Styela clava: one gene and its partners. The main gene of each other region encodes a partner of the protein of the gene in region 2 in a complex. Links are inferred from orthologs where the notes say so. Each region holds a gene or a part of one and is shown on either strand. Other genes may lie near its edges. The genes, in order: eukaryotic translation initiation factor 3 subunit F-like, eukaryotic translation initiation factor 3 subunit H-like and eukaryotic translation initiation factor 3 subunit J-like.

Evidence for each region.
Region 1: eukaryotic translation initiation factor 3 subunit H-like (region 2) and eukaryotic translation initiation factor 3 subunit F-like share a complex: the UniProt entries of both Drosophila melanogaster proteins name them as parts of the eukaryotic translation initiation factor 3 (eIF-3) complex. The link is inferred for Styela clava from reciprocal best matches to the Drosophila melanogaster genes eIF3h and eIF3f1.
Region 3: eukaryotic translation initiation factor 3 subunit H-like (region 2) and eukaryotic translation initiation factor 3 subunit J-like share a complex: the UniProt entries of both Drosophila melanogaster proteins name them as parts of the eukaryotic translation initiation factor 3 (eIF-3) complex. The link is inferred for Styela clava from reciprocal best matches to the Drosophila melanogaster genes eIF3h and eIF3j.

Annotation. Positions count from the first base shown.
Region 1 is NC_135253.1:21,922,425-21,929,566, forward strand, and holds the start of eukaryotic translation initiation factor 3 subunit F-like, read right to left. Parts: upstream 3,087-7,142; 5' UTR 3,037-3,086; coding exon 2,928-3,036; intron 1,829-2,927; coding exon 1,678-1,828; intron 1,389-1,677; coding exon 1,245-1,388; intron 318-1,244; coding exon 209-317; intron 1-208. Other genes in the region: rRNA 2'-O-methyltransferase fibrillarin-like, read left to right, coding at 3,560-3,572, 4,186-4,347, 5,534-5,691, 7,076-7,142. UniProt on the Drosophila melanogaster protein: Component of the eukaryotic translation initiation factor 3 (eIF-3) complex, which is involved in protein synthesis of a specialized repertoire of mRNAs and, together with other initiation factors, stimulates binding of mRNA and methionyl-tRNAi to the 40S ribosome.
Region 2 is NC_135257.1:9,053,422-9,060,778, reverse strand, and holds the start of eukaryotic translation initiation factor 3 subunit H-like, read right to left. Parts: upstream 3,101-7,357; 5' UTR 2,975-3,100; coding exon 2,924-2,974; intron 1,747-2,923; coding exon 1,593-1,746; intron 1,199-1,592; coding exon 1,031-1,198; intron 904-1,030; coding exon 804-903; intron 156-803; coding exon 6-155; intron 1-5. Other genes in the region: uncharacterized protein LOC120345504, read right to left, coding at 5,071-5,398, 5,544-5,717, 5,907-5,997, 6,252-6,352, 6,464-7,082. UniProt on the Drosophila melanogaster protein: Component of the eukaryotic translation initiation factor 3 (eIF-3) complex, which is involved in protein synthesis of a specialized repertoire of mRNAs and, together with other initiation factors, stimulates binding of mRNA and methionyl-tRNAi to the 40S ribosome.
Region 3 is NC_135257.1:14,144,050-14,151,481, reverse strand, and holds the start of eukaryotic translation initiation factor 3 subunit J-like, read right to left. Parts: upstream 3,076-7,432; 5' UTR 2,818-3,075; coding exon 2,805-2,817; intron 2,602-2,804; coding exon 2,458-2,601; intron 1,662-2,457; coding exon 1,455-1,661; intron 1,169-1,454; coding exon 1,004-1,168; intron 512-1,003; coding exon 438-511; intron 1-437. Other genes in the region: uncharacterized protein LOC120346066, read left to right, coding at 5,345-5,528, 5,839-5,906, 6,185-6,268. UniProt on the Drosophila melanogaster protein: Component of the eukaryotic translation initiation factor 3 (eIF-3) complex, which is involved in protein synthesis of a specialized repertoire of mRNAs and, together with other initiation factors, stimulates binding of mRNA and methionyl-tRNAi to the 40S ribosome.

The DNA of each region.
Region 1 (7,142 bases), on a different chromosome or scaffold from region 2:
GCCAGATTGGTACGCATACTTCAGAAATACCGATATTATTACATAAGGGGTCGTGAGAGCTTGTATCTTGCTTTGAACTAAATTGTACAAATAAAGATCCTATGAAGACATTAATCTCGCCTGGTGAGTACTAGGGTCTTGCAGTTTCAGTAAGTTGATTATTGCAGATGCGTAGATCTGGGTGGTGCAAGGAGTCATAAATACTTACAGTTTGAATTCTGTCGACTCCAACCCTCTCTGCATCGTATTGAAGTAATTTCACATCAACGGGTGTGAACATCATTCCTTGGGTTTTGCCTGGGACTCCAATGGGTGAGCTTGTGTAAAAAGAAAAGATATATATTATTGTATTCCAGGATCACTTAAATTGGCACCTAATTGATATAAAATTGTGTTCAACCTTGATCATACTTTTAGATTTAAACCAGGGTGGTCCAAGGTTGTCAACTCCGAGGGCCACAAAATTATTTTAGCATTATTCGCGGGCCACAAATAGTGCCAAGAATAGGTAAACAGTGCAATACAAAACAAGTACTTGTCAGTATTTGTCTTTTGTCAAGCTAAAATATGCAAAAACCACCAAAAAAAACCTGCATAAGTCTTTTTATATCTACATTTAGTGTAAGATTTCGACGGAAAATGGTACTCCTGTAGTATGTGAATCAAGATGGCGGACACAGGAACGTAGTTTGTGTAACAGGTTGGAGTCAGACCATAATTTCACGTACAAATAGCTAGTCCCAGAACTAGTAATATAACTAAAATATAGAAAATTGGAATAAAATTATGGCCTAACCCTAACCTGGTACACATACCACGTTCCGTTGTCCGCTATTATTGTGACGCATACTACAGGTGTACTGGAAAAAAGTGCCATAACACTAGTCACATCAGTGATGTAACAATATGTTAAAAGATTTTTCTGATTAACTTTATGGCAAAACAACACCAAATGCGATTTTTTGATTACCCTCTGATTCCGGCGCGGGCCACAGATAATGCAGCGGCCGGCCACATGTGGCCCGCGGGCCTGAGTTTGGACAACCCTGATTTAAACAGCTTAAAGTCTCGTCAATCAGCTTTTACTAACCTATAATGAATAAATCTACATAGTTTCAGACTTACAGTAGCTCAAGGCAACTTCACTCAGAACCAAATCTTTTTTACCTCTGAGTGGGAGTGCATTATTACCTTGCCTTGAAAAAATTCTCATGAAATTTTTTTTATTATTCATTACTCCCCACCTTATGTATGCTTTGAATCCAAGTTCTCCGTTAGTCAGTGTTGTATCAACAGTGAGATGAACTGGCATTTTATTTTTACTTTCTTTCGTATAATACTCGTGGATAAGTACAGAGTGTTCGGTAATGTCATGCCCAGTCGCGTACCTGGTGAAGAATAAATAGAAGTGTTTATTGATAAAAAATGTTATTATTATTGGTATCATGCACCGCAGTGTTCACTATTAGCGCACTTTTTTTGCGATATGTGAGTGACACCTTCGCAGTTATTTTTAAAGACTGCGAAATCGTCATTTTTAATGCGTCTGTCGTCTTACCAGATGCCCCGTTGAAAAAAAAATTTAATTTTTATGTTATATAAATATTCTCCTGAGGACATCCTTGAAATCTGAGAAGTGTGCTTGGGAACAAACCAAATGTGGAAAACTGTTCTTACCATCCAACGATCACTTCATTTGTATTGACCTTCCTATGAAGGTCGTACATATTCTTGGCGTACTCCATGTCAAATGCGACTTCATCGTCTGATTCTGTGTGAGGAACACAGAAAGCATTCGTGACTGTAACTGCGTTTGCATCAACAGTACCTGGAAGAAGTTAGGATAAGATTTGATGAGCTCATGTCATGACATATTTTTCTCCAACAAGATTTAACCTAGACATAGGGCAAGGGTAGCGAACCTTTTTCAATGAATAGGTCAAAAATTATATTTTTATCGCGGAACAGAAGAGAGTGGGTCACAGATATTTAAGCAATGTTTGTATCTATAAGAAACTCCTGAACCTAAGCTTCTGTTTGTGTTGGTGAAGTTTTGGGCTTTACTTATGCAGCACTTCTTCTATCAGGGACTTTTTATGACACCCTATTTTATGAAATTAGAGTACGAATTACCAAAAACAAGATACCGTACAAGATTAGGAGTTTGGAAAATTACCATACCGACCCGAAAATTAACAATTTGAATATGAGCGATCGCAGCCCTGACTGCCAACTGACGGTACATTATAATAGTTTAGTTATTGTTGGAATAATTGAAAGCCATTTTCATCAACTTTTATCACTGATATGTTAGCATTTTTTTTATTTTATTCGTTCCTCGGCGGGTCAAGAATAAAACGCGGTGGGTCACTTTGTCACCCGCGGGTAAGTGGTTCGCCATCCCTGACATAGAGAAATCAGCAATGTGATAGGAAATGAGAGCAACATAAAATGCTACTGTCAGTAAAGCCATTTCCTCTACCATCACTTTTATATTTTGATTCTGTAAGTTTTAATGTTTTCCTTTTTCCAACCTTTATTCTGTTCGTTTTTGTTTTGTTTTTATCAATTATTTCTTCGTTTTGTATGCTGATTATGAAGTTAAAATATTCACGATACGAGTGAAAAAAGAAATATGAATACTTTAATATTATAATCGAATTGACGAAGAAGCCATTTGAAGTATTCATAAAATTAATTGAAGCAATTAAAATAAAAATATTTAAAATTGAAAAGTTAAAAGGAGCTCTCTAGATCTCTGCTTGTCCAGTGACTTGTTTATAGGTTGATTTCCTTTTGAAATACTCATGATTGCACAAGAACAAAATCAAACTTGCAGAAAAAAAGCACAAATGAATATTACTAATGAATTAATATTGTCACATAACTAAATTACAATTAAAAAGCACTAATTTTACAATTCTTACCTAAAAGTGTTCCTACTACTCTTTTTGCATCTTCTTTCCTCCTTTCGAAACTGTCAATAATGGTGAATAAAACCACAGGGTGAACGCAGACCCGCCGATTTTCCGACATTTTTATAATATTATAATGTACTAAGAGTTATCTGATGGAAAATATGTAAATTAGCACAATATTAAAATCTTTTAAAATCATAAATAGATAAGATTTGTAAGATTTAACAGGTATTTTTCGAATACTCGAGGCGTGAACTCAAAAACCTGGGATTCGGCTTGTAACTGTATGCAAGTGAATTACTCAGGAAACTATCGGTTGTGGTTCCGTGTTCAACTATACAAAAATCATTTATCTCCAGCTATTGAAAAAATTATATAAAGATAAAACAAACATATAAATATATTTATTATAATTTTATCTATATTTTTAAATATTTAATTCATAACGTACCCTCAAAATTACATCACGAAACATGACGTATATAGCAAAATGATACGACTGAGTGACTCTTACCATTGCACGTGTGTTGTTCACGCTGGTCTCTTGGCTGCATTTGCGCTGTTAAAGTTTCGTTAGCTCTTGGTTTGCATTCGCGTTGTGACTTACTGAACTTTATCAAGGATTTTGTGCTATCTTCTAAATGGGGAGACCTGGTGAGTTATTTGATGTGTTTAATATAAATATAGTATTTTGTATATTAATTATGCTGGCTCAACACTTGTGTGATATTTTCATAAATTGAAGGTAAACCTTACTTAAGGTTTTGTTAGCGTTCCTGATTCTGCGATCAGTTTTATTTATTTGTTTTTATCAATCATTTTTCGCCAGTTATGCTGATTATTCTGTCGATATAAACTTATACCTATGTGGTACGGTAATATAACAGCGCAACCTATAATAATTAAAATTAGCAATATACGGCGCGTTTTATCCAAGATATGGCCGTTCAAAAATTTTGTCCGAAGTTAGGAACTGTCCGAAGTTGGGCGCTTTTACGGTACAGCAGTGATGTGTTGTTTGTTTAAGTAAGCATAATAGAGTAACATCTGAACATTATGTGTCACAAGAATATTTGATAGGTTTCCACTTGTTATTTATGCTCATATGTTTAAGTCGTCTTATTGGCTTTTCGCTCTCTAGGTAAATATGTAAATCCTATCCTTATCAAAAGTACGTTGAATCTTTCAATTTTATTTTGTGCTTCTAAGTTTCTCGGGTTCATCTCATATTTATTGTTTAAAACTTTCTTTTATTCATTTTTTTCAGGTTTTTCACCAAGAGGTGGCGGCAGAGGGGGTTTTAGAGGAGGAGGAAGAGGGGGCGGCAGAGGCGGATTCGGTGGCAGAGGTGGAGGTGGGCGTGGTGGATTTGGCGGAGGTGGGCGTGGCGGATTTGGTGGCCGAGGCGGGGGTAGAGGAGGACCCCGTGGTAAGTTGGACTTACTCTTTATCAATGTTATTTTTACAGGATTTTGGGGTGTAGTTAAGTGAACGCCGCAACTGCTCAAATAACTCCAAACAAAAATGTGATGTGAAATTTTAATGTAATTAACATTAAAGTCTGTGTGACGCATAAAAGATTTGTTTGGCGTTATTAAGCACTCAAAGCATTCATTTTCACATCACATTTTTGTCCAAAGCAAAGACACTTATAGTCACTTGAATATGAAGGATACTCCTCTTTGATCAGAGTTACGAACGACAACAGAAGAATTTTTAAGAGGGAGTTCTGAAATTTCTAATTGCCAAGTTAGACGAGGCGCAGTTCTTACCACTTCATGGCAGCTCCTGCCACGAACGTACCACGCCGTCTCCTGCCATGGTTTTATGGCGCTATTACGGGTATATTTACAAATTCATGTACCATATTTTAGTTTATCATGCGAAATTATATCTACTTAAACCCTAACCCTAACCCCAAATCCATCCAAACTGTATCCATAAGAAAAACATTCCAACTCACCAAATATTTATCACCATCAGCAGATTAGGGGCAGCCCTGCTATTACAGCCGACCTGCCGTGGTTACGGCATTAAAATTGGTGGTATTCGATTTGCTGCCGTAACCACGGCAGCTCGCTATTGGTTTGTGGCAGCTAAAAAGTCAGTCGCCGTGGGTTTGGTCTTAGTGGCCGTGGTTTGGAAATCCCGCCATGGTTTTGCGGCAGCTGTAGACGCCACAAAATACTTGAAACTGCACTTGAGTTAGACAGCTGGCGGGTCCGGCTGGAAGCAGTAATGTGGGTTTTCAAGAGACTTAAATGTCTAAAAAAACGTTTTGAGGATAGGAAAAATTTTCATGTATAACACAGAAAAATCCTTTTTTCACAAAAGTGTGGGGTTCCGACCCCTAAACCCACCTGGGTACACTCCTGCCAAGAACTACGCCCACTCAATCAGAAGTAAAGCAGACTAATTTTTGAGCAAAGTTGCAACCGACCTCTGAAATGCCAAGAGCCACTGGAACTTCTAACGTGAAAGTGCTTGTACTGCTGTTCTCTAGCAAATTTTACTGAAGTCATTATTGCAGCATTTGCTTGATTTAATTTTTCTGTTTGTGCCATGTGATGGCATTTTCTGTGATATTACATTGAAGTTGACTTTATTCATGGCAGGTCGAGGTGGAGGAGGGTTCAGAGGTGGAAGGTCAACGGTTGTTGAACCCCATAAGCATCCAGGAATATTCGTAGCTAGAGGAAAAGATGACGCTTTGTTGACGAAAAATCTTGTACCCGGGAACACCGTCTATGGAGAAAAGAAAGTGGAAGTTGAGGTTCGTGAAATTGAATGTTTTTTTTATGAATATATTCGATTAAATATGATTTATCTTGGGGAACAGTGTTCCCTGTAAGGAAGTTAGGAGTACTATGGTGTTTCGCAGTTAAAAAAAAAATTGCGAAGTTGCTTTGGTCGATTTTAAAGAGGTGATTTTATCATGGGAAAGCCAATAGGTTGATTTAATAATGAGAAAAACTATATCTTTTCAGCCCAAGTCAGGTATGAAAATAGCTCACTGGTTAGTCACTCAAAATACACGACCATGGTGTGTTCTGGATGTTATTACAAGCAGTATCCAATGTAATTCAATGAAATGTAAATTCTCGGTTTTTCTCATTAAAACAAGACCCACAAAAATATCTATAAAATAACTTACGAACTACCATACTTCCGAAAACAAGTAACTGGCTAACTAATTCCATACTCAACATAAACTGGTAACCGGACAAAAGGCCCTGGTTTGGCATATGGTTAAACCATCTTATCGGCTTTTCTCTTTCCCAGGATAAATATGTAAATCCAATTAACTGGAGTGTGTAAACATGTTGATACGTTTGGATGAAGGACCATGATAGTTAAGAGGAAACTTTTTTTAACACATGTTTTATACAGAGCGTCTATACTCTATAACAGGGGTCGGGAACCCATGGCTCGCGAGCCATATATGGCTCTTTTGGTGACGGCATATGGCTCCCAGAAAAATCTAATGTTCCAAGACTAAGCTTACTATTGTTACGAGATTTCAAACTCTTTTATAGCCAAATTTGGCAGGAAATTCCCAGTACGCTTGAGAACGCGCGTCCAGCACATGTCTATGTTGTGTAAGATAATTACCAGACAGGCATTGTGACAAACAAGGGGAATCTGGAACATATATTGTGACTTCACAAAGCGATATAGTTTTAAAAACACTACGGAGATGCCTAAACGAAAAAGGGTGATGAGTATCTTAGATTTCAACTTGTGCTGCATGTGAGCAACCGTTCAAGGCCCGCAGCGACTACATGCAGCATCAGAAATCACATTAAATGTATATTGACATTGTATGTGTTGACTTTTGAGTAAACATTTCAGGCCTGATTAAGTGAAGAAATGTTATATGGCTCGCATGGAAATGCAATTGAAAATATGTATATTTTATGGCTCTCTTGACCAAAAAGGTTCCCGACCCCTGCTCTATAAAGTCCCTTTACAATTTTAATTTTGTTAGGAAATCAGTTCTCAATTCAATTTAACACACCTGTCAGTGCCAAAACAATATATGGCATCGACAAATTCCCTTTGCAGTTTTAAAAAAGGCTATATTGACACTCTGTATATCACTTTCTTGTTTTTTATGGAAGAACGATATTCACTCAACTTCAACTATATAATTACAGAATGATGGCATAAAGATTGAATACAGAGCGTGGAATCCATATCGATCAAAACTTGCTGCAGCAGTTC
Region 2 (7,357 bases):
CTTACTTGTGAGCAAGATTCAAATAATTAACTTTTTCCGGTACTGGATCTTCATCTTTTACTTTAAACAACATGAGTCCAGTAAGAGGTGAATTTTTGATTTTTATAGGAACTTCCTCATATACATCTGTGAAGCCCAACTTCTGAGCTTTAAGGCTTAAAATAAAGTAGAAATCACATTACCTTAGCTGAGAATAGTACAATAAAATACCGGCAACTATGAGAGAGGTTTTATCCAAATCCAAACTAAACGAACAGCTGAGAGTATACTTGACAGACAAATAAGATATGGACACAGGACACTAGTTTTTTTTGTACTCCTGAAGTATGTGAACCAAGATGGCGGACACCGGTACATAGTATGTTTACCAGTTAATTTCAACTACAAATACTACGGGAGTCACTTGGCTAGTCCTCGAGCCGATATAACTAAATGAGTAAAATTGGAATAAAATTATGGCCTAACCCTCCCTTGGAACACAAACTACGTTCCGGTGTCCGCCATCTTGGTTCACATACTTCGAGAGTATAGATTATTTGAGATTATCCATGTAATGGAGAAAGGAAGTTTGAATTAGAAATAACAAAAATTATGAGGTGATTCTTTGAAAACAATCGAAGTAATTTTCTAACAAATGACAACAACAGAAAACAAAATAGAAAATAGTGCATGAAGTAAATGGCTAATATTTAAAACCAATCCTATCATACATATTACAGTGTATGGGCATATAGCAACCTCCACACTACTGTTATCATCACAGCAATAGTTATTATCTCCTTATGAGTGTAACATATATTTACCTTTCTACTGTAAATTCACCAGCTTCATACAATTTCATCATTTTTGGAGTAAGACGGAAAGCTTTTAGTGAAAGATTTCCTTGTCCTGTTTTCAGTGGATCTAAATAGGATTTTTATGTCAGAGTAAATACATTATTTCATACACAAAAAAAGAACATTAATTTTTGATACATCATACATTCAATACATAGAAATCCGAACATTAAAAGCTATATAAGAAATCTTACCATATATTAGGACAACAGATTCTTCAATGGCATTCTGATATGAAAACTGGGATTCTAGGAAAGGTCTGTTGATAAAATTTCCATGAAATGATGATTGATACCATCCAACATGTAAATGATCTATATTAACATGACGTAAACATCTCATCATATCCATCTGATATTGAACTGTAAAGGGTATAATAAGTATCATAAGCTCTGCAAAACTTTCATCGTGATACTACAACATGTAATTCAAGGGCTTCATTATATTGCTAGTTTTTTTTTCTGAATTTGAGTAATTAAAAATGTTTAGTTTGATAGGCCTACTAGTTTTATATTCATGGGATTCATAAGTTGAATAGCAAAATAAAAATAAATAGCGAAAATAACAAGAAAAGATTGCGACTTGGACTGTAATCCCTAGTATATTAAAAGAAATAGTAAATATATAAAAAGATAAAAAAATTAATATCAATGAGAGTATGCACAAACGAACATCCCAAGCCCTATGAAACTTAATATCTCAAAAAAATAATAAAAACCAAATTAAGAAAACAAATTATTTAGTACTGTAACCAACCTTCATCGAACTCTGAATCTTCAGGGACACGAGGAAACGGAAAACAGTTGGTGACTTCTAAAGTCTCCCCAACAACAAGTCCAAGTAATACTCCCTGCACAAGTTCTGGTCCGGTGTTGTCCTCCTCACAGTGTTTGATTATTTTCATGACAACCTGTGTTATAAAATGAAGTACATAAATCTTGGTGGTATGGCGTATCGTGCTAAGCGTTACAGCAATAGGAATACGCTCACCACCGCACCTCTGATTACCCTGCGTGGGTTCTCAGGTTCAAATCCTGTTGGAGATAATTAAAAGGATTGCTGGAATCCTGGGGGCCTAGGGTGGTTAACATAACCGCTTCACATTTACAGCTTCCTCCACCACCAAATCTGCAAGTCAATGTATTTGAAACAAATAACAGGCTAACAATCCCATACAACATGGACTGGTAACTGGACGAGAGGCTGAGGTATGTTATATGATTAAGCCGTCTCACCAGATTTCCTCTCCCCGAGATAAATATATGTAAATCCTAATAAGTCATTTTATGCAATTGTGATGTCTACTAGGGTCAGAGGCAGTGGTGAGCTGTAGCCGGAACGCACCGGAAAGGCATTCCAGTTGTTGGACATTTTATTGCATTTGCGTTCCTGTTGTTGATTTAAAATTATGGTACAAAAAGTCGATTCCTCTGGTAATCTTAGTTAATTAATTCATGTTTTGTTACATCATAATTCATAATTCTTTTTACATCACATCACGCAAATAATTAGTACAGCAGTAGCGCGTCATAGATGTTTTCCGGACCATTGACCCCATAGAAATTCATTTTATACCTTTCTAATAATAATGTTTGTGTTGAATTGCTATTAATATTCTTGTAATTTTACACCGACATATTTCAGATAATTTCTTCATATTTCCTTGCAGTCCTTCGGCTCTATCTTAGGACAGACAAAACTTTCTGTAAATGTTCGCGTTGTGTTGCAAATATATATAGGCCTATTACATTTTTGCAATTAGGTGCGTTCCGGTTGTTATGATTTTTCCAGCTTATCACTGGTCAGAGGGTAGACTATACACTAAAGACATTATAACAGTAGAATTATTATTTTACATGCAGACATACCGGTAGTTACAATGTTCCATTTCCTACACCTCTTTAAATATACAATAGAGGTCAGGCATACATAGACTACGGACATATGGTACGGTACCGTGGACTGGTGGAGTTTTTGCAGGGTACCGATACCGGTATTATTGAGTGTCAACCTTCTGAGTTTTCAAATATAAAATTGAAAGGCATTAACTGTAACGATTTTTTTATCTAAAAAAAGCAACAACTTACCAAACCATCTATCTGAACATTTTTAACCGTTGCTCCAATTCCCAAATCCATCGCAAAGAATCAATGAAAAAACAAGGGAGACCTGCGATTAAAACTACAAAAGCCTGCAACGCGCAAAATTAAGCAGCTGTAGTGTATGCCAAAGTGGCGTATGCGACCGTGACATGTGTCTGTAGTATCACTGTTTGGTGAAATGGCGAAATCAAACTGTATCCCATGCGGATAAAATTTCAGCTTCAATAAAAGTTGAATACGATTGTTGTGCAAGTATATTGTGATTAAAACACTCTAAAAAGTTTAATTACCCTTTATAGTTTAGTATTTTGTAAAATGAAATTTTGACGATTAGCAAACCTATTCACACATCTGAATTTATGAACTCGTTATTCCCCGGTGGGAAATGTAAACAGTATTCCGCTGGCGTCTCACGAGTACTGTTTTTTATTGTTGTTCCATGTGCCGCGTCCGGTAGCGTATTTTCGACACGAAACATTTAACCGACCAATCGTTTCTAGGAGCCAGCGCTCACTGGTTGCATATTGTTGAGGGGGCGTCTGTATAATCCAGGAGAAATGCTAAAGGTAGATATAGATAGTTTAGGTACGACTAAACTCTTGACTTTTTGATATTATAGCCTTCTAAGCTAAGTTATACAAAACTCATCTATTTACAGCGATTTGTTGGATAGGCCGTTTTCCTAGGCTAGCTCCTTGTGCTATGCAATGAAAATATATATCTTTGTGCTATGGCTGTGAAACTGTGCTAATCGTAATTTTGTTGTTTTTATACAAATTTATCCTACAGTGGACAACAAATATGATGGGAGGATCACTGTCGAATCATTTCATTGTGCGTGGAGTCGTGGAGTGCGTGGAGACAATATGACTTTAAAATCATTGCCAGATGATGAACTTACAGTACAGTGAAATACTGCCAGAAAATGACAAATCCCATATTCTAACTTAGGGTCGTCCAACCTTTTTGACTGAAGGGCCACATTTAGTTTACTATTAAGTGCGCGGGCCACTGCAATTAAAGTTTCTGCTATAGAATTCCCAAGCTTTTCAACAAGACGAGAACCGTCTGTCTTGACAAGCCTATTTTTGCAAACGCCTTTTTTTTATTTCCGGACATGAAACATTGACAACCCGAAAAATACATTTCTTAACGAATTTTCAATCTGGGGCTAGCTCGCTTTTATGTATGTGCTATGGCTTTTATGTATATACGTAGCGACTATTGCATCTTGAAAGGGGTGGCAGAGCGCATTTCAGGAAAATAAGCATATCGTTTGTATCATATCTTTGCACATTACATCACTCGAATGATAAATATACTCAACTTTTTTTTTAATGAATTCTAAAGAATACAGCGCGGGGCACTCGAAATACTTCCGCGGGCCACGGGTTGGACGACCCTGTTCTAACTGAATCTAACAACCCTTATCTAGTATTTTGCATTCTCAGAAGAGTCATTTGGACAGAGAGCAGTTTGGTTTATATCACGAAAGTTGGTAGTTTAATCTAATAGCTGAAACACAGCCGGTGCCTGGAGTTCAATTGTGAATTAAATATTTTTATCTGAACATAGCATTTGCTGTTGCTGTAAAATATTAATGCCAAAATCCACATCGAATGAAAATATAGATGTTTTATTGAAGACGCCATTACGCACAATAATTTTACAAGGAGATATATGAAAAGCAAGTTATCCAGTTTAAATGATGATAAACCACGTTCGGTACCAACAAACCACAAGACAATAGTTCGCTGCGAAAAACATTATTACGTCCCGGTATATCATACCTGTACGGTGACTCCAAAATGTCGGGTACCACGTGTCCCACTTCTCCTGGACACGTGGTACATTGGGGCACGACATTTTGGAGACACCCATTACTGTATATACCATATCGTTCATTCTAAAGAGCAGAGACAATTTAATTCATACATTATGATCGAAACGGCATGGTTGAAAAGTGAAATTTTGCCGGAACTGCAGAAATGACATGTAAAAAAGCTAGTAATATATACAATTTATAGTGTTTATAAAATAACAATATTGTCAAATTTATAACAAATAAAAGAAATCAGCCACATGTCTACAAGCTTCGTTTTACTTAATTCAGGCCATCTAGATCGGCTCTATTATTGTCGCTTTACAAACGCGTTTTCTCTGCTCATACCCAGTGGGTTCCGAATGCCAAATTCGTTCGGATAAAAACATCCTCCATTGTCAAAGTATCTACCATTGTTCTCGACAAAATCTTCAACTCCGTCCGTCATTTCAGATTCTCTATAAGATGGTGGGGGCATTCGAGGAAAGGTGCTCGGAGCAAAATTGACCGCTTTGCTCAGTTTTCTGTATGAATTCTCTGATTTCAAACTATGATTAGGCCTTGTTGTCCTCTCAGATATTTCCTCTTGATCACGTGATTTGTCTGAGGCAGTGGAAATGGGTCTTTCATGATAAGGCCTGCATAAAATGATTTATAAAAAACACTGCAATTCTATTGCATCTTTCTAGCTTATGCCTTATTCAATTTTATGGTCCAAGTCGGACATAATTTCATAAGAGGGGCTAGGGCTTGATTTGCTTGGTAAAATTTATTACAAAATACCTGTATTGGTTCGCATAAAAATCCGATTCTTCCTTCTTTGTGTCACTTTCATTTTGCGAGTGTTGGTGTACTGGGGACGGCGTGAAATGTCGGCTATAAGAAAGTACCTTTGGAGAAGGAGATTCTAATGAACCATTGTTATCTAATTGCAAAAACGTGTGTCCGTTTTCTTGCCTGTCAATGTATAAACGTTTCGGATATATAAAAAACGTTTCCAACCAATGATTTGTGGTTTAGTACCTAATATAAAAACAGCTATGAGATTGTCTCTATTCGAAAAGTGTTAAAATAATAATGAATTGGTAGTGAAGACAAAAAGTTACTTAATAAACTAGGCGAAATGAGACACAATTGTGTATGTACCTTCTAGCAATCTGCTTCGTAACATTATCCTTCAAAAAAGTTTTGCTTTGTCGACTTTTGTTCCATATTGATTCACATTTTGGAGAAGAATCTGGAAAAGTTGTAGGTGATATTTTCACTAATATCATTTTAATGATGTACTGGCCAATACTACACCATGCCTGTACAAGTTGCAAGAGAATAGTTGTCCAGTTTATTAGATTTAGCAATAGGATTTTTAGGCAAAGCTTACATTCTGTCGTAACTATGAAAATTTGAAGTTATGAATCGGCATGGTTTTGCAAAAATATCATTTAAATTTTGCCTAAATCGTCAATCTCCTCGTGAAGCAATATATAAACTCACTTCCATCAGGTTCAGACCGAGTTACCGGTTTGTCAACAAATGGAGTTCCTAGCCGATTGTTTCCGACAGATCTCTTGCCTCCTGGCGAAGGTGATTCTGACCTGAAAAATTCCGTAATAATATATGCATAAACATGAAGTTGGCTATGTAATCCAAACAAGTTAGAAATTCCGTTTATCTTGCAATGCTTCCATGACCTATGGACTTTTTACCTTCGTCGCCTTGGAATGACTTGGAATGTTTTTCCTCCATGCTTTGTCTTCGGTAGCTCTATGATGCGATCTAGTTGCGTATCTTCCATCAGAAGATGTGGAAAATTGTATTTCCACACGGGTTGCCAAGGGGATTTCAAGTCTTTATTTCCGGCAGGTGACGGTTTCTTTTCATCAGACGGTTGATGCAGTGACATATCTTTAGCGACGATAGACTTCATTTCAGGCATTGTCTTTTTGTTCTGCACAAGTTCCCAGGGTGATCGGAATTTAGGTTCCAAATCTGCAACTTCATCTGAGCGTTTTGTATGCTTCTTGTTTGAGGGGCTTGCACCATAGTCGGGTTTCTTGGCGTCCTCGTGCGCATAGGGTGGCATTTTATTTCCAGTGTTCAAGTTTGGGCTGCATTCTGAATCCATGTATTCATCTGCATACATATTTTCGGCAAAATAGTAGGGATAACACGCAGGATAGGAATCATTTACAGGTAATCGTTGACTACTTGCGATGTGTTCCGGGGCGCCACCTTGAGACAAATGCTGATCTTCGAATTGAAGGCCTTTGACGTAATCATGATTAAAAGGAAACCTCCCGTGATGCTGATGATAATTTGGATCATCTAAAATAAATGTGAAAAAATGTTTTCCGTTGTTCGTGTTGAATGTCGAATTAGGTAGTAAACTGAATCATAGCATTTCGGAATTCTGTTTCTGAGAATAGGATACAATTTGGATAAAAACATACGGTAGGTGACGAAGGGTAGGGCTAGGGAGCTGAATTTTTATAAACGAATTTGTAGTAAGTAATTTAAAGATCTAATGGTAAATTGAAAACTGTAACCTTGAATGGCACTTATAACAGAAATGAGCAACCTAAACTGCTTTTTCGTATTAG
Region 3 (7,432 bases), about 5.1 Mb from region 2:
TAATAACTCGCTAATTATACTACATAATTCATCCAAAATCAATAGGCTTCTGGTACGACATATGATGAATGCACATGCAAAACTGGGGCAGATTCAATCTCGCTTTCCTGAGATATCGCGTGCATCTAATAGACAAACAAACAGACAGACAGATACCTATCAACATTCTTACCAATTAAAATCGATAAGTAATAATGGAAATAACAGATTTGATCACAGTGAGGGAATTGGCTGCACTGTGGCATATTCAGCTTAGCATTGAGAATATGCTTGCTATCATGATGGCAAGAATCCCTTGGTGAAGACGCAGTCTCAAACCATGAATGAAAGGATTTCTGAACACCATACAAAATGATTTTCATAATTAAGGTACAAATTTTTGTGTGTGTACATATATTTTCAATTAATCTGTAAGTCGTCAAAAATCTAAAACATACCCTTTCTTGTTTTGCTTTTTCACTTTGTAAAACATTCAAAGAACTTATGAGTTTCTTCAAAGATTCGGCATCAACTAAGGAAAAGCAGATGAATGAGAAATGCATTGAATATTAAGCAGCTCTGGATGCTTTATTTGTAACAAGTCCTATCTAGAAATATTGCAATTTAGATCAGGAAAATCAGTCAGACAACAAAAATATGTCAGGACATACTAGCTGTCTCCATTATTGTTTCCCTAAAGTAATTATCATGTTAGTTATTATTCATCAAATTACTGATTAATCTAAAAGGATCCATATGGAAAAATTCCCAAAGTGTTTCCAATTTCCAAATCTGCTCGACTAAATTTCACAGACATTTCGAATAGAAAGTCCATTTACAGATGACCCTTTTTAATATAGGCTAGTTACAGATTTTTGGAAGAACCCCCGAAGGTTTGCTCCTTAATAAACATCTACCCAGTCTCATTTAAATACGATGGTTTATGTGACGGATTGCCAGTAACTTTGGGAAAAAATATTAATTATATAGATGAGACTAAAAATACTGTAATAAAACAACTCACGACTTAAGCAAGAATTCCGAAATAAGGTTTCAAGGAAGGATTGATAATGCGGAGACGATTCATATTTTGAGAATTTTTCTGAAATTAACTTTTCGAAATTTATGAAATCTTCTTTAGTTCTTGGATCACAATTGTCTATTGTGATCAAATCAGCAGACGTTACACCTGAAAAAAAAATTTTTTTACACTTCATTCGCTTATGTTGCTGCATTATCACCATTTACATCCTAAAAGATTTCCCCTAAAAATAAAGCAAATTGTAACCATAATTAACCATAACCATAAAACTGACTTCGATATGAAATTGCCATCACAAATTACTATTCCTAGAGTTTTCTTTGTAAGACAGTGTTCGATATAAAAGCTACTTATTTGAAGAAATTCATGACAAAAAATCAGTTATTTTGCTTTATTCTACATATGTTTAACAAATATCAATCAAAAAACCAACCGAATGTATCTTTAGCAACTTCAAAATCAGATTCTTCAGATAACTTTTGAGCCATCAACTTGTCAGCCATAATTTCTTCTGGCGTTTTCTCTGCAAGTGCTGCCAGCCTTTTTGCCTCTGCTGCTCTAGCTGCTTGTTCTTCTTTTTCCTTTAGTTTCTTAGACAGTGCCTTTTTTGTACTTTTCTTTGGTTCTCCTGCAGCTGCAGCTGATGAAGAAACAAAAAAAAATCATGCAAGGCCAGGAATTCAATATAAATTTTCAGTCAAATATGAAGTGAATTATTTCACCAATAATAATAATTTGTATCAAACCTATAAACTGGAAAGCAAATCCAAATTTTGAGGATATCAGTTGAAATCACTTGGACAGAAAAAATTGTTCAATCACTCAAACAAAATATATATTTTTTTTTTTTCAGATAATAATTTTTTTGAATTATTGAATGTGTAAATAGATATTTTCAAATGGAAGAATTCAAGAATGAAACAAAACAAAGTCTTGGTTGATTGGTAGTAGAAACAGCAAAAACTAATTGAATCATTCTAAAATAATATTTTCAGATATGGATTCTATAAACTGTGCCTTCAACGAAGAGAGTCTTTGTATATTCAATGAGTTTGCTTTGCATGTTTGTTGGTCATATTATAAAACTTCCGCTAGTCAATATGATGATATTTAAAACAAAGTCAACCAAAATCTGAAAAATTAATAAATCAACAAGGCTTTTATATTAAAGAACTCAATGGCAAAACAATTACAATATCGAGGGTTCTAACCTAAAAGGGGGAAACCTGTTTGAGAAATTGAGAAAAACCTATATTTTTAATTTTGAATATCCTGTAACTTTTTATTTAACTACTTTTGAACATTGTTTCAAACTATAATTAGATTACCAGCTTAAAAAACAGTACTTATTTCTTTGTAATATTTTTAAATAAAATATTTTTGAAATTTCAACATTAGCCTTGGTCTTGTAAGTTGAAAGCCTAGCTATATTAAACCTTGATTCGGTGTTTCTGGCTTTTTCTCTTCCTCTTCATCATCCCAGTTATCTTTGATGTCATCCTCTTCATCTTCTCCCTCCCACAGATCAGTAGCTGGCGCAACGGGTTTGTCAATAGTTGGAGGTTCAAAATCTTCATCTTCTGTTATTGTAAAAAATATCCTTGTTCACATACATGTAACAAGTGATGAAATAGAAAAAAAAATTTTGTATGATTTAACCATATCTTAACGGTAGTTGTTTGATTAGGAAATTATTTAAATAATTAAAGTCAATTTTACATGTCAGTGCGGTAATACTGTAAGGCAATAATAAAAAGAAACATTAGCATGAACAATATCTAACCCCAATCAGCCATGATTCTTTATTCTAATTGCAGAATTGGCAATATCTTTCTTCGTTCAACAGGATTTGTACAAAGTCAGAAAGTGTTCTCAGTGATAAAACTTCCAGTCACAGAGTCGGGGAATAAAAACTAAAACCCGATGTAGAGTCAGATCAGTGAAGCAATGTGTGAATGTCAGAATGTCTAAATATACTGACTAAATAAAACACAACCTGGAATAATGCAATGATCTAGTTGCTGACTTCAGAAAAAATAAAGTTGATTCAGTGATTGTAAAGTACTCTACTGACCCTATGTTGCAATATTCACAAATAATAAATGATGTACAGTACAGTAGTAAGGAATAGAAACAGAGCATTGATACAATGATATAATCCAAACCCCTCCAAAACCTTCTTCACAGACACCGATCCACACAACACATGTTCAAGCAAGCTGGTACCGTAATTCATGGTTGACAGATCTGTTGGTTAGAACGATCCTCTATTTCTACAAAATACTAATTTAAATACTAAATTTGTCGACCATTTTATCTCTTAAATAAATGAAAAATGCCAAAATAATTTATATAATAAGGAAAGCGAAAATTTTAAAACAATTCTAAAATTAATCCAAGATATAAGGTAAACTGCTGGCTCCAATTCTGGCAAGATACATGAGAAATCTTGGGCGGATTTCCATTTCTTCTCTCTCGCGCCTTATGGCGACTAGTATTTGATCATTCGCCATGTTTGATGGGATAGGATTTACATAGCAATCTTCTCGCTGAATCCTCATCTCCTGTTGCTGAAAAGCTACTGATCTTGACGTTCTAAATTGGGTTAGCCCGATCCCAAATTCCTTGGATTTAAACCTTTTCTCATAGATTTCCATCTAATACCGGAATTTCATTAAAGAACTTTACTTTTATCAAACATTTTATCTGATTATATTTTTCCACCCACTCCTCACAACTTTGGTCTGTTTAGTTTCGAGCATTGTCGGAGTTAAGATTCTGCGGGTAATTATCTATTCTTGAATGATAGCAACTCCTTGAAACAAGAACTATGTGACAGAATTTAAAATTGCATGCTTACCTTTTAACAACAAACCAATAGAAAAGTCACTTTTCTGTATCGTTATTTTGAGAGCAACATGAAATAAGAAGCCCCAAACGAAATATTGTGTCAAAATCATGGTTCGCAGATGGCATTTTGTAATTTTGATGCACTCTTAACAAACTCGGAAGCTCATCTGTTGTGAATCTTCTCTGTCTACCTTGTATGCAGAGGAGTTTTCCGCTTTTCCCACTTTTCATGTTGCACATAACTCTATCGTAAAATCAAGATCCCAAATTCTCCAATTCAGTTCCGAAATACTAACCCCATGGTGGACAATTAAACATGCTATCGACAAAGATAACCTGTGATTTTCTCGTTTGTGGGTTTTCGCAATCCCAATTCTCTGCGAAATCAACAAACAGACCAAGGAAAGTTGAGAATGATTTACTTAAAACTATTTAACCTACATTATTGGTGGCTGATCGTGCTAACTCAGCAATTGGATCTTTTAGAAATAAGTTGAGTGCCCGGCTTAATGATAACAGTTTTGATGTAATCATGTTTATGCAATGCATGAAGTGACAAAACAAAGTGCTTACTCCGATTTTTTTTATCGTATGTAGCCTAATTTACTAATTTTAATTAATCCCGGAAATGAATTGTGTCATCAGTAAATTATATTGTTTATCAGCCAAACAAATTGATAATCCACTGGAATTAATATTAATGACTGTGTGAGGTAAAAGAATAAACATTTCAGTAACTTTTTGACCTCTACCTCAATATTGGACACAGAATGTCAATATGGACATATGTCAGTTTTTATTAAGTTGTATCATATTGATTGTGTACTCATCTACAATTTCTGCAAGATTCACCCTATATGTCATCTATTATTGAATGCATAGTCAAGGATGAGCCCGAGCAAACATCATCAGGAAGTTAATATTTTAGCCTAAATGTTTAACGGACTATAGAGGGCAATTTCAGACAGATGAATGACTTACAACAAATTGCGCGCAAATTAAATCGTAAATTAAAAGATATGGAAATCTAATGAAGCTGCAAGGTCGACAGTCAACTATCGAACCTCAATTATATGATACTCGAACCCGATTTCTGCCATGCAAGCTATAGAGAGAAGGGCGGTTTATAACAGGTAGGCGCTAGAAGCCCTCTATACGCCAAGGCGCAATCAGCTGGGGTTGTTACGTTATTCGTGATGCGATAGTTACGTATAGTTTAATATAGTAGGCAATATTAGTTTTCTATATACACACAAGAGGTGAAGATACCTTTACAAGTTTATCAGTATGACAGTATGGAAACAATAGTCGGCGCTGACACGTAATCTCATTCACGAAGTGTCACAAAGAACAACAAGCTTTATACAATGTAATCCAAGCAAATTCCAAAGAACCAGTAGCTAGTGAAACTGGTGTTGTACAGTGATACTACAGAACTTCGGATGACAATTTGAAAAAAAATATGTGAGTAAAATGGGTTGCTTCTCCAGCAAATCAGTGGAACCGGCAAACTCATCGAATCGTGTGGGAAATCATGTATCACAGGGTAGCAGGCAAAAACGAATTTCAGGTGATAGTGGTATCAGTTTAGAAACGGAAGAAATAGTGAAGTCTGCAGACGAGGAACAAATCGCAAATCATATCATACCAAAGAAGGGTAAGTTTTGTTATTCACAGATCTATGCTCTAAAAAATAACATAACTCAAATATATTTCATTATCAGCAGTATATTTAAATAACACGCCATTGACTGCTACACATTTTTATTCGAAATTTATATCAACTGAATTTAATATAACTTGCAATTTTGTCGCTGGTACTACAAGTATTAATATATATATATGTCTCAATTTATACCAAAATTTCATTTTTAACGCGGAGTAGTGATAAAGAATTCAATCTTCGCTGCGTGAAAAATAGCGTGAATGATCTTTTACCCCTATAATACACATTCTTCTAATTTCAGGCATATCGTTCAATATACCAACATCGTCAAAAAGTATTATAAGAAGTCATCCACCGAAGCGTTTAACGGTAAACATAACAATTGTCAGCTTAATACTAATAGTAAGAGATAATAAATTGTAATCAACAACTGGAAATCCGATCAGGAAATCAATAATATCAATTTTTTTATATATTTTTATGGAATTAGCGCGTTTGAGTTGGATTCGTATAATACACAAAAGCACTGAATATCATCAAAGTAAGGTATTCACAGTATCGGTTTGGGATAATGTTGTGAACTTGAGATATGGGAAAAATGTTCTTTTCCATATTGTCGAAATAACTCAATATTTGTTATATTTTAGTCACGACTGGAAGTATCAAAAAATACAAAATCAACGCTAGAGCCTTTTGGCTCAAATTTAAACAGGAATGAACAGATTAGGCAGGTTTGTGGCCGCGTCATTTTTAATTATAAAAGGATGATATTTAAACGTAATATAACTAATACCTACTGTTCTTGTTTGCTTATCCTATGACCTATACCAATCAGAACGATTTCTATCTGAAATGGAATCTCGAATGAAAGTATTTTTTTGATTACTTTTCACAAAATATTTTTTTGCCATTCAATTTGAAAACTTTTTATCGTAGATTATATATTTCATGCAGCACGACATATTTACTTTAAGCCTTCTCGTATTTCGCATTCACTTAGCATTCAGAAATATTCTCATTAGTGCCCTATTATTTTTATTACTTAGAATGAATGATTTTGTTTTTTGTTCTGCACTAGAGAAAGAGGAAATATTTGACTTGTCCATCAAGAATAACATATTAAACCCGAGGGGATTCGTAAATACCGTTTTCTCAGCACATAGAGTGATAACAAAGTGGCGACAAGCCTGTTTTAGCCAAATTGAAATTTGACACAGTTACGAATTGAAATATTTATATAGTATAATATCGTCACGCTAATAACCGAATTGCGTAAGTCATTTTTGATGATTTTGAGTTTTTCATAAAATAGGTATTTATGTAATGCTGCGCACCTGTCTGTTAACTCAGATTTTATTTTAAGAATTCCGAAACCCCTAAAAATGGAGATTTAGTATGACATGCACGTTTGTGCAATTGTTTCGTCATAATGAATTATCAGTGTTCCAGCAGGACTATTGTGACGTCACAAAGGCAAAATAACCTCGCCGAAGTATTTTCGAGTTTTTGCATCTCGGATTCTAGCTTAGCGCGTATTAATTTGAATTTATACTACAGTATAGGAAGACGTGCACTTGTGATATTCACTGTCCGAGTCCAATTCACCTTGGTTGGCTTTTATATTGGGTGCATTACTGTTTTATTCTTTATATTTAATCTTAGTCTTATTTCGGTGGGTTTGCAGAACGTGTTATATTGATGAAATATATATTTTTAAACATGAAAAATAATGTAATTAAAACAGATTAGCTATTTTGGGGATTAGACATTGTAGATACTGAGAATTACATTCGTTTCTGGAATGTTTAGTTTTCAGAACTGGTGCATATAGTAAAGTTGCAAAATTGCGTATGTCCCCAAGTCATAGACACATTTCTGCCTAAGTCACAGTGCGC